2 linked regions of the Drosophila melanogaster genome follow. The protein of the gene in region 1 interacts with the protein of each later gene in a pairwise test. Each region holds a gene or a part of one and is shown on either strand. Other genes may lie near its edges.

Region 1 (6,005 bases):
TGCGTCCGTTCCAGTTTTGGAAATTCGCGATGCTCGTCTCCCAGCATCTTATTCCAATGCCCAATCCAGTTTCAATCAAATTATCCACACATTCTACTCTCGAATTAAAAATTTACGATATACGCAGATATCACAAATGATTGACTTGGCCATAGGACTGAGATGCTGCGGGATAAGATTAATCAAATGCGTTTACAATGTGAATTTAATCAATTTTGAAAATTGTTTTCAATTAAAAATGATTACAATATATTAAAACTAAATTGTAAGCGCAATTTGTTAAATTAGTTTTTCAATACCGTAAAACCAATAAGCACAACTAATTGAACATTTGTATTGCATTCACAACATATCCTACACATCGACCAACTAAATCACCACCCGCATGCTGGCCATTTTATTTCCTTGGCCACCATTTAGCCGATGTGATGCATAATCTTGGAGCTGCTCACATAATCGCCATCGATGTGGGATCCCAGGATGACACTGACCTGACCAACTATGGCGACGACCTAAGCGGTTGGTGGCTGCTCTACAAGAAATGGAATCCCTTCACATCGCCTGTGAAGGTGCCCGACTTGCCGGACATCCAATCCCGACTAGCCTATGTGTCCTGCGTACGCCAACTAGAGGTACATACGTTATTCCATGAAATCGAACTTAAAACGCAATTAACATATTTTTTTCTGCAGGAGGTCAAAAACTCCGACTACTGCGAGTATATCCGACCGCCGATCGATAAGTACAAGACTCTAGCCTTCGGCAGCTTCGACGAAATTCGAGACGTGGGCTATGTGTTTGGCAAAAACTACTTTGAGAGCATGGCCAAGGCTGGTCGATTGGGCCGCTTCAATCAGTGGTTCAACAAAGAGCCACCCAAGCGGGTTAACCATGCCTCCCTCAACGAGTACACGTTCATCGATCTGGCGCAGATCGTGTGCCGTCTGCCGGAGACATACGCCGTGAATACCGCGGAACTCTTTAGCGAGGACGAAGACTGTGATGGCTACATTTCGGAGCCGACCACACTGAATACGGTAGGTGATCCGGTAACATTGCAATATCTATCTATGTATACTTTTACTAAATAATTATTTCGCACAGGATCGGCGTCGCATCCAGGTGTCGCGCGCTGGCAACTCGTTATCCTTTTCCGAAACGGAAATGGACTCGGACGTGGAGCTTGACCTGAAGCTGGAGCGCAAGACGGACAAGTCCACACAGTCGTCGCCGCCGAGTAACAGCAGGTCGGACATGCGCGGCAAGGAAGAGGCTAGACATATGTCTAATTGGCATTGGGGTGTGAAGCACAAGGATGAGACTGGCAGCGGAGCCACTGAAGCCACAAAAACACAAACCGGTCAGGAGCAGGAACTCCAGCAGGAGCAACAGGATCAGGGAGCTACGGCTGAGCAGCTGGTGGATAAAGACAAGGAGGAGAACAAAGAGAACAGAAGTAGCCCGAATAACGAAACCAAAAACTAGCTATATATGGACAAACAAAACAATTACAAATACAATGCAAATTCGAAGCGTGGCTATATACTCAACAAGAAGCATTAACAAGCCGAGGACGAGGTGCCTTTCGCTTGCCAGACGCCCAACGGCACAAGGTAACCGCCCGCCCCCCCCACTTCACCAAGAAAGCAACCGCAACTACTCAATCATCAAATCTCCAACGAAACGAAGTAAAATATAGCAATGACAAGGAAAATTGTTAACCTATAGGTTTTATAGCAACCAAGACTTAGGCTTAGCTTAGCGTATGAAACGATTAACCCACAATCCTGCATCCCATCCCTCTCATTCACCTAACCAATCCACACACATTGTAATGGAAGGCACAAGAAGTCCACAAACTTTGTATATACATATAGTTATATATTTTTACTGAAGCAACCGATATTGTAGTACCGAAATTGAGACTCCTTCGCAATGAATCCCCCTCAACACAAAATTTAGCCCCAAAATTGCCGCACACTCGTGTAGTCTCTCTATTATTTTAGGCAACAAATCTTTTGTTTAATGGTCGGATTTTTTTTGTAAATGCAAACAAATAAATTTAAAAAGGGAGTACAAACAGATTTTGCTCTTTTTATGTATGTTCAATTGTTAATTTTAAAATATGAAATGAAATCATATTTCGTTTTTACGAAAGGTATGAGAAAAAACAAGACCGTTGAAAAATTCAAATTTTTTTCGCAATGTTTCTTTTTTATTTGAACGAAGCACAAATCAAATACGATTGCCTGCAGGCAGCAGCAGCTCATCCAGTAGCTCGGCCACAAATCGTGCATCCACCACAAGATTTGGTTCCGGCTGGCCGTGTGGTGGCCAGTGGTCCGTCTCATGGTAGTGGACCGGATAGAAATAGACATACTCTTCGATATGCTGGCGGGGCTGAGAGGACATGGGACTGTGGAGCTGCACATGCCGTCGTCCAGGTGGACGATGCATTTGCAGCTGTTGACCCACGACAAGTAGATCCAAGGTGTTATTATTGGATGCTTTGAATTTAACCGATTTATTCGGATGATTGCGTCTGATCTGCGTTGTCTGCTTCCTGGCCATTGGCAACGGCATCGGCGTCTGCTGACCACCACCGCTCATCCGTTGGCCAGGATGGGCGACGAACGGTGGCTGCAGGAGCGGATCGTGGATGAGCAAGTCGCTGGACCTCTTGCCCGTCAGCCGCTTGAGGCGTCTACCAATCCTGTCCCACTCGTTAAGTTGCCGCTGATGCGCCTGCTGCAAGCGCCAAAGTGTTGTTGCAACGTCCATTTTGTTGAATTTTTTTTCCAATTTCAATATTTTTTTTTTGTAATATTTTCTACTAACCAAAAAGGTGGCAATTCTATAATTTTGATAGCCATAGTCCAGGGATCCGTGTAGGCATTTGTATTGGTGTTGGGGCAACTGTCAAGTTAACCTCACTAAAAACGGAGGCGAACTTTCAGTATTGAAGTGAGTTTTCACGTTTGCAGAACTCTGAATAATAGAAACTCTGAATTGCTGACCGGCTGACTTCGAACTTTTGTGAACTTTTAATTTGATACTTTGTTAATTTAAGTGCTTCTTAGTGTTGTGGACCAATAAGGAAAATCAAAATGGCTAAACGGGGAAAAAAGGGAGGTAAGAACACAAAATAGCCTGTTTTTCTTTGCTTTTTTCTTCGTTTGATAATCTCAACTGTCAAATCAAAAAAAAAATAATAATAATTAATAAGTTATTCATGCCTCTAAACGTTCAAATTCAATTGGCATTGCAGGCATACCGAGGGCCGAAATGGTGCAAGTGGCTTCCGCGAATCGCGACGAAAACCAGGTGACAGAGTTGAAGAAGGCCGATTACTTGCCCTATCTGTTCAATCTGGTCATGCCGAAGATGTTCTTCAAGAGCCCCAACAGAATTGTGATGGCCCGCCTGTATCCCGATGTCCATAAGCACGATCAGCAGTCAGCCGAATATTTTGAGGGCTTCCAGGCGCCCTGCTTCGATTTGCCGGCTTCCCTTTTCCCGGATAACGCTCCGATAGATAAGATCGTCTTTATGCCCACGGTTATGTTGCCCATGGGCTTCGAAGCCGGTGGGGTTTTTGGGCCGGGTGTACTTCCACGTGATTGCTATCCCGTTGATCTGATTAGGACGGAACATGAGGGCCCAATGCCGCCGCTGTTCGTCGGTCTGCGCAGCATGAATATCAGCCTGGCGTCGATGATCGATAGTTTCCTGGACATGTACGACAATCCGGAAGGAGAGGACGCATTCGTGTATGAGATGCATGCCACCGATCATCATTACGATGATGATATAACCGAGGAGCTAATGCTTCGCCCTGACTTCACCTTGTCGGTGGCCTACAGTTTGCCGGCAACAATGCGTCTACCGTCGCCCTATCCATATCCTTGTGTCCAGGCGCAGGACAACATTTATACCCCGGATTTGTCCAAAGTCCTGATGCTTATGCCGCACCAGTTGAACATTACGGTGTCCATTCTGTCCACCGTTAACAATCCGCATGTTCCATCTGTGGCATTCGCCACCATGTGTGATGAGGAGGAGTGCCCCACGTTCGACCTGCCCACCGATGTCTTTCCCATTTGTGAGGGCGTCAATCGTCCAATCTTTCTGCCCAAGCGTTTCATGCCCAAGGGATTCGAAGCCTGCTGCGTCTTCAAGCCGGGAAGTCTTTCGGAGCTGTGGTTCATTAAACGGATAGGTCGATTCGGCACTCCGCAACAGCAGCACAACTGTACCATTACACCACCTCTGTTTGTGGGCAAATACTCCCGCGATGGTGAGTGCACCGATATGATAGAGGAAATCAGAATGAATTTTGACAAGAAAGCCCGCGAAAGTGCCAAGTCCATTGCAAGTTTAACGCTTGAAACTCTCGGGGGGCTTAGTAGGCACATAACCTCCACCAAGGGCTTCTTGGTAATGGAATCGGACAAACCGACGCCTCCAGCGGGTGCTTACAGTGTGGAAAGCTACGAAGAGGCCTCTGAAGATGGATGCATTGCGAAGGTGACCAAGGAATGTGCCAGTAAAATCACAGATACTCGAGATGATGGAATAAATACAGCAGACTATCAGTCTCAATTTCCCGAACTGGAACCGGAACCGGAACCTGAACCGGAGGATGAAGGCGAAGATGTGGCCAATAAGAAGAAATGCCTCTCGTGCTTTAAGATTGATAGCGACATTGATGTTATGTCTCATGCCATTGCCGAATTGACCGTCGCCGAATTGAGTATGCTGGGCGAGGAGAACCCAGTGCCCGGGGTCGATACCGAACTCGCCTTGGACCAGCTGCGCGAGGTCTTAGAGAATCGCGGCGAGATTCGATCCAACACCGACGACTTGATGCGGGATCACATATACAGGATGGAGCGTGATCTCATGCTGGCTCTGCGTCAGCCAATCCGCAAGTGCTGCGAATGCACAGTGAACTTCTAGATGCATTATTCCAATGTTTGTATTTTGATTACATATAATGTTGTAATGGTTTTTTTTTTAATTTTATTAAGGGTTTTCGGTTTGTCACTCAGAATGCACGTTTACATTATCTTTTTTGGGTGTACTAGAGTACTAGGGGCTGTGTGTGTATTGTGTGTATTGAGTGTGTATTGTGTATTGCTGTGCTGTGCCATTTAATCTCTTAAATCATGTGTTTTTCTTGTTTGTTTGTTTTGCAGAATTGAATTTAGTTAGTCTAGGAGGCCAACCAAAACATCTAGATTTGTATAACTAGTAAAAAAAAAAAAAAGATAAAACTGTGATATATTAATATTTAATTATACAAGATGCAGCTTCGTTTTCAGTGTATTTACAATTCGTAGCAATTCTTCCATGTCTTTTCGTGTAACGCACATGCAATTTTTCTATAACTTGATGGAAATTTATACCAATTACTAGACAACCAGGTTTTTTTTTGCCGAAGATACTATCTTCAACAATTTTGAATTTGCTTGAAAAACCTATTATATATATGTATGTATATACTTCTAGATATTGAAATATTAGCTAGTCTTTGCAGTGGCTCAATTTGATCGTTCAAAATAAACATATGCGCTCAAACAATATCGAAGTTCCCTTGAAGCGCCGCCTAAATAACACACAATTTGTAAAAACTAATAACAAATTCACATCCGATGATCCTAGCGTTTCCAATTCAGATTGATTACCCTTCTCGTTCTTTCAATCATCTTTTTTCTTATGCTTCTTAATTACATAATATTTATGTATAATGGGGCATGCAAACTAGTTTCTATGCATTTCACAATTCGCTTTTCGTTTATTGTTTTTTTTTTTTTTTTTGTATCATTTTTCGTTTATGTTGCAATTAACTGTAGTGTATATTGTATTTGTATATATTAACTATATAATCTTTTTTTCATTTTTTACATGCACAAACTCATGAGTCCAATGTAGGCAATTTTATATTGTGTAGTATCGTGTTATTTGTTACTCGTAATTTGTTATTTGCCTTCTTGCCTTTCTTT
Region 2 (6,893 bases), on another chromosome or scaffold:
GAAACCAATCCCGAACTACCACTGCCGAATGAACCTTTTGGCAAGAGGGCCATATTTCCGATGCACTCACTTACTGAGCTCCAAGAGGAAGACACGGGTCGCTTGGTGCAACTGAGAGAGAACTGCAGCATGTTGCACAAATGGCGCAACTTGTAAGACTGGTGCTTGTTTACAAGAATATATTGCATTACTTATATTTTAACTTATATTTTTAGCGAAGGCACTTTACCCCATATGACTTGCAAACTGTGCAATCAGTTGTTGGAATCGGTTCCCCAGCTCCGTTTGCATCTCCTGACCATATTGCATCGTGATCGTGAAAAGCAAATCGACTATTGCAACCAATAAGAATGGTTACATCGTTTAATATGAAAACAGCTGATTTTGAACTTTTTGATTTCTCATTTCTTTTCTTAAAGGACACACTTCACTTGTTTGGTTTAAAAAAATGACGTATTCATGGAATGAAAACAAGTTTTGAATTGAATCTAAACCTACAGAAATCTTCATTACGTTAAATATTTTCTATGTTATGTTGAATGATCTCTCTTCGTTCAATTACGAAGTGTAAAATGTGAAATATAATTTTTTGTTAATTACATCTTTAAAGATATCATTAAATACGAAGACAGCTATACTAACCAGTTCATTACAAGCAAAAATCCATAAACTGCTTGCTGTTTATAAAAATCAAAGCCCTGGGGCGTGCATGTTCTCCCTTTTTGGGCTCTTTTTTTTATTTTAGATTAAACTCACACATTATATTTATGCAACTACAACTACATCGGAGGAATTCTGCAGCGGCACAGGAGTTGGAGTGTTTGCCTCCAGCTCGCAGATCGTATAATTCTGCATGCGGTTTAGGGGCTTGCTGCACAGCCCACACATCTGGTGCTTATACACGCCGTATATCTCGAAATTCAGGATGTTGTACAGATCGAACTGGATGGTGGAGGACAGCTGCGTACACTCCACAATTAAAATATTTTGCTCGTTAAGTTCCACGCTGAAAGGGCATATGGCGTTTATAAAATTGTATATAAAAGCTAAAAAGCATTCTTACCGGAAGTCGTAGTCACTAGTCTCAATTGGCCATTGATATGGCTTTTTGCGCACGTTGTGCGGTGTTTGATCCTGGTTAAGATATATGAGCACTGGTTCATCCGTGGGCAGGCTGCTGTTGTCTGTGCGGGCGCGGAAGTTGAAGTAGTTTTGCCCGATATGGACTCGTAATCCATAGTTGGTGGACAGTCCTTGAACAGGCGAAGGCGTAACAAACACTGCAATCTGTGGCAATGGCGAACAGTCAGCCACCAGCAGCGTGAGACAGTCGGGACGCACCGCAATCTCTCTGAGATTGATTAGGTAATCATCGAAGGTATTGACTATGCCATTGATTACTGAGCAGGAGCGCTTAAGTCCTGAGTCGAAGGTAAGCTCGTGGGAAGCGTCGAACTTCGAGTCCAGCTTGTAGAAGAAGGGGATCTGATGGAAACGCCACTTCACTCCGTTGACCTCCACAGCCAGCCTGAACTGGTCCTGAGGAGTTTGCATTGATATATTTATCTCCTGGCTCATATGCAGACTGTCCACCTTGTCGGCGGATAAGGCGGACACTAAGTGGTCCAGTCGATTCGACCACAGCTCGAACCAGGCGGGCATCTTAAAAAATATAAAGGTGAGTTGATTGGTCTTTTATATATCTTTTCGGAGCGGAAAGTAATTTGATATATCTGATATACTTACATTGTCAAACTTCAGGTCCATGTCGTATTGTGTGATCGAGGTGAAGTTCTCAAAGTTGCTACGCTTGCAATACCTGGAAGTGGGTATGGGCGAGAACTTCAGTACCTCCTTGGGACAGAAGTCGGTGTCCGTCAGCGAGATCTTGTCGGAGCGGAGGAAGGCACGGGCATGCTCCGAGGGCTGGCGAGATGAAAACGTTGGGTTAAAAGAGAATCCACTTCGGGCTTATGTACACTTACACCAGCTCTAGCTGCAAACTGCACCGTGGAACCCTTCTCCGGGCACTCGCTCTCCTCGGTGGCCAGGCCAAACACCACATCGCCATTCAGAGTGTGAGGTCGCTTGGTAAACACCAGCGGTTCATAGGTCAACTTGGTGCAGGCCTAAGGAAAATTATGCAAATGAGTGAGAAAATCCTGTATCCTTAAGTGAAACACCATGTGTTTTTTTTAATGCTTTTTAAAATAAACCTAAAATCTGTCAACTTGATTTTCCAATTATGAAATATGGAATACAATTTAATTTCCTAGCCGGTGGTTCTTCACACAGTATGTCCCAGTAGGTCAATAGCCAGCTATGCTCGGCACGAGTCAAGTGCTCCTTTTGGGTGGCGGGTGTGACACCCTGTAAGTATTATGTAGTTACACTGCTTTCCTCAAGCGTGGAGGCAAGAAAATGTGGGGTTCAGCTGTTCGCTGAAGCTCCAGGCGAGTGGAGTGGGCCACATTACCATGACGAAACAGCAGACAACGGAGCCACAACAACTGCAGCAACGATTAGCGAACCCACACACATCCTGACTGTATGATTGTATGGCCCTCTTCCGCCCCACCGTTCGTGCCTGCGTGCCACCTTACTACACACACACACACACACGCAACCCATCCTTTCAAGCACTCAAGCAGTCGCCGCAATTGTTGGCCCACATTCGTGGGTTGTTTGCGTCCCGGAATCGAGACCGAGAACCGAGTCTGGCAACCGGACTAGAGTAAAGCAGGCCTGGCGGTGTAAGTAGCCCCGTTTGATCAATACGACTCGGTGGGAGCTCAGTAGAAGGCATCCAGTTACGCTACTGTTCAGACGAATTTCTCCTGTCGTAAATTTGTTTTGGGAAAAAATTACATTTTCTTTTATTTTGTAAGAACGCTGTAAAAATCTGGAAAAAAGACCCAGTGCTCTCGACCTATTTTATTTCGGTACCGCCATCGGGAGCATTCAGTTGCGTTGCTTTTATAAATTTATGTTTACTTGATTCTCGGTCGGACAAACTGCAAAATGACTTCGGTAAGTGATATATAAGAAGCATAATAGATATGGATTCTTATGTAGCCACTTTACCTGCTTCTCCAGATCGAGTCAAAACGCGTCCAATATCGAAAGTATTTGGAACGCGCCGGAGTCATCGATGCCTTAAGCAAGGCTCTGATTAAGCTTTACGAAGAGCAGAATAAGCCGGAGGATGCCATTCGCTTTGTACGCAAGTTTATGTGCGAGAGCTGCCCGGACGATGCCCAGTACGATGTAATGAAGAACGACCTCGAGGAGGCCAAGACCCACATCTCGAAACTGGAGCAGGAGCTTGAACGGCTACGCGGACAAATGTGAGTTTCTAAGATCGCGTCTTGTCTGTCCAGTCTTGATTTAGATTCTATTTACACTCAATAGCAAAAAGTCACCGGAGGAGTACCAGGAGCTCACTACTGAGGGCTACAAATCGCTCATGGATGATGAGGAGAACGTGAGCTCACTGCTGCGCAAATACCTGACTCCGGAATTGCTGGAGGAGTACATGCTGGTCACCACACCTGCGCCGGTGGATGCCTACCTATACGATTGCGCCGTCTCCGGATTCGAGCACCACGACGCGCCCGTGGGCATTTTCGCGGCAGATGCTGACAGCTATGACGTGTTCAACAAACTCTTTGATCCGATCATAAAGGACTATCATGGCCAGATGGACAACGAGAACGATGTGCTGCAGAAAGACCCAGACTTTGGCAACGTGGACGAGATCGAGAACTTGGATCCGGAGCGCAAGTACATTCTGTCCGCACGAATCAGATTGGCTCGCAATATCGAAGGTCTGCCCTTCTTCCCCAAACTGACCGAGAAGCAATTCATAGAGGTGGAGGAGAAGGTGCGTTCGGCCACGGAGACAATGGATGGCGAGCTGATTGGCTCCTATCTGACAATGGCGGACATCGATGCTGAGACCCAGGCGGAGATGGTCAAGAGACATATATTATTCCAGCGCGGCGATGAGAAGCTGACCACAGCCGGCTGCTATCGTTTCTGGCCAACTGGTCGTGGTGTCTACCACAATCCCGCCGAGACCTTCTTGATCTGGGTGAATCGCCAGGACCATGTGCACATTATGTCCATGGCACAGTGCGGCGACTTGGGCGATGTTTACAATCGCCTTGTCAACGGTCTAACCGAACTGGAGAAGACGTTGGCCTTTGCCCGGCATCCGCGTTATGGAAACCTTACGGCTTGCCCCACCAATTTGGGCACCACCCTGCGGGCTTCGGTGCACATCCGTCTGCCGCTACTCAGCAAGGACCCCGATCGTCTACTCGCCCTCGCCGAGGAACAGCAGCTGCAGGTACGCGGCACCGATGGCGGCGAGCTGTCCACCGTGGAAGATGGTGTCATGGACATATCAAATAAGAGGAAGCTTGGTTTCACCGAGTTCGAACTGGTCAAAACTCTGCAGGATGGCGTTGTGACCCTGATTAACGCAGAGGAAGAGCTCGAAATATCCGGACAGGAGGGTTAGAAACAAATAGCCAATACTTAAAAACCTTGTAAAGCAATTAATATCACTATAAAGTACTCACGAACACTCACAGACGAACACTTAGAGAAACAGGAGAAACGTATCTTTGGTTAAATAAATTTGTCCCTAGCCACAGACAATCACTCACCTTCCAGTCGTCCTCGTCATCCTTTGAATTTCGCTGAACCTGGCCGGTCAGCTTGAACCAATTGGACTTGGTCGATGCCAGCACGTCCAGGGTAATGTTCCATCTATGAAGTGCATCCGCAGCATGATTTTCGTTCATGTGGTCCGTGTGCTCCAATGTAAGGCCGATCTGCTTGCCTTTCATGTCCGACGTTTTCAAAACGTCTTCGGCACAAAAGTTACCTTCGATCTGAACGAAAATTGGTTTTAGCTTTAAATATTGTTAAATATTTAATTTTATTTCTCACCCTGGTGTTCTTCTCGTTGTACATAAGCATGGTAAAGTTGCGATCGTGGCCCAGGTGTATGGAACTTAGCTGGGTGAAGCCAAATATGTACATCAAAGCATTGACCACCATATTGCCGGAGAACCCACTGGAAGTGAAGTGATTAGCTGAGTAGCAAATCGGTTTCGAAATTCAAAAATTACTTCTCCGTGAACTCGGACTTTAGCAGCATCCCCCTGTACTTGATGAGCTCGTTGAGATTGGTGGTCATGCTCAGTCGGACGCCCAAATCCGTCATTGGGTAGCTAAATAGTTGAACCTGCGAGCTTGACTTTATTATTATTCTTAATTTTACCCATTTTCAGATGCTTAAAGTAGTTAATTAAATTTAGTTAATTTATTTCATATATTTTGGTATTATTTTTCTCAACAAAACACTTACCACATCGTTCCGACCCTCGGGCACCATGATCTCTTCGAAGGGCGCCGCCGCTGTCTTCGTGATCAAACCCCTGGTCTTGGTCACCGCCCGCGACTTGAAGGACAGGCCACTGGTCAGGTTTTGGGGTCGGGAGAAGGAGTAGCGCCTGCACTTACTGCCACTCTCGTTCAGATGCAGTTCGCTGCTAAAGGGGATGTAGATGAGGAAGCCCTGCTCCCGGTTGATCTCGTGATCGAGGTTGAGGAACGGATTGTAGCTACGACTCCGCACCGAGGCGTATGAAGAGTATCGGGCATCGATTTCCAGCGTGTGCTTGGTTATGGGCGAGTTCCGCTGCTCTGTTATATTACCACGCAACGAGGTTAGTACGGTGGTCTGCAGCAGGACGTCGGAGGAGGTTCCCAGCACCGTGGGCACCGTGTAGCGATTCATGAAAGGCCAACGAACAGTCTGCATGTTTATGTGACTGTCTGTCCGAATGATTTGCTGCATTCTTTCCAGAACTGTGGAAAACGGGCATGAACCGCACATGGCTGATGGTCAAGAGGTCAATGTACTCACTGTTGTCGTAGGTCAGCTGCCGGAACATCCGCTGGTTGAGGTAGTACGACAGCACCGTCTTGCCCTCCATTTGCAGGATGAACTCCAGATGCAGGTCCTTCGAGTTGATGATCGGAGCCTGCAGCATGGCCAATAGAGCCTTGATGCTCTTAAAGGTAAAAGGATCGCTGCCATTTCGCGATTGCATCTTGTTCAGGATGGTATCTGGCAGCCCACGTGCCTTGATGTATAGCTGGAAGAAGTAGAGATGGCTTATTTGATTCTTGAAACACCGAGAGGTTGTACTTACCGCCAGTTGTCCTGTGAATTTGCCTAGAGCTTCGGTGTCGAATTTGAAGAAGGCCACCACTGGCATGTCCGACTTTGGATCGCCCACGAGGAATACCTGAAGCATTGCACCGATGCCGAACTTGGAGTCGCGATAGTCAAAGATGTAGTTACCGGTGACCCAGTAGCGTGACTCGGGCTTCTGGGGCAGATGACGATGCATGTAGGACAACAGACGGCGTCTAAATGAAGGATATACGACATCTGTGGATGGCTGTGAATTAGGCTGAGTTAGATGACTTACAGGTGCTGATAGCAGGGATATGTTGTCTCCGAGATGCTCGTCACCGTCGTCCGGTAGTAGTTAATCATGTGAGGGTCCGTCTCGCTCTGAATGATGCGATGGATGCTGATGAGACGGGCGGCCGTGGGGTTGGAAATCAATAGCAGCGTAACCGCTGCCACACGAAGTTCTAGGCTGGCATTTCGGGACTCAAAGATTGGCCAGTAGACCTCGTATATGCGCTCCGCTCGACGATCGGCCAGTGCCAGGGTCGTCCAGGCGGCCTGGAACTTCAGATCCTCGTGCTCGTTGGGGTCCTGAACAATGGGCTCCAGATAGTTGGCCACGTTCCCCAATTGCAAGTTGTTTAGACCCTGCAGATACAACATCTTCTGGTCGAAG

What was found.
Region 2: the proteins of CG15330 (region 1) and CG4546 interact in a two-hybrid assay, tested with the Drosophila melanogaster proteins (one large-scale study listed by BioGRID).

Annotation. Positions count from the first base shown.
Region 1 is NC_004354.4:7,952,898-7,958,902, reverse strand, and holds CG15330 (uncharacterized protein), read right to left. Parts: upstream 2,840-6,005; 5' UTR 2,782-2,839; coding exon 2,236-2,781; 3' UTR 2,201-2,235; downstream 1-2,200. Other genes in the region: sws (swiss cheese), read left to right, coding at 421-632, 693-1,037, 1,105-1,485; CG15332 (uncharacterized protein), read left to right, coding at 3,108-3,132, 3,269-4,959.
Region 2 is NT_033777.3:15,843,759-15,850,651, forward strand, and holds CG4546 (uncharacterized protein), read left to right. Parts: upstream 1-2,775; 5' UTR 2,776-3,021; coding exon 3,022-3,030; intron 3,031-3,096; coding exon 3,097-3,347; intron 3,348-3,411; coding exon 3,412-4,525; 3' UTR 4,526-4,673; downstream 4,674-6,893. Other genes in the region: spn-E (spindle E), read left to right, coding at 1-152, 216-348; cv-d (crossveinless d), read right to left, coding at 766-1,006, 1,064-1,662, 1,747-1,926, 1,986-2,129, 4,674-4,901, 4,960-5,086, 5,142-5,257, 5,381-5,883 and 3 more.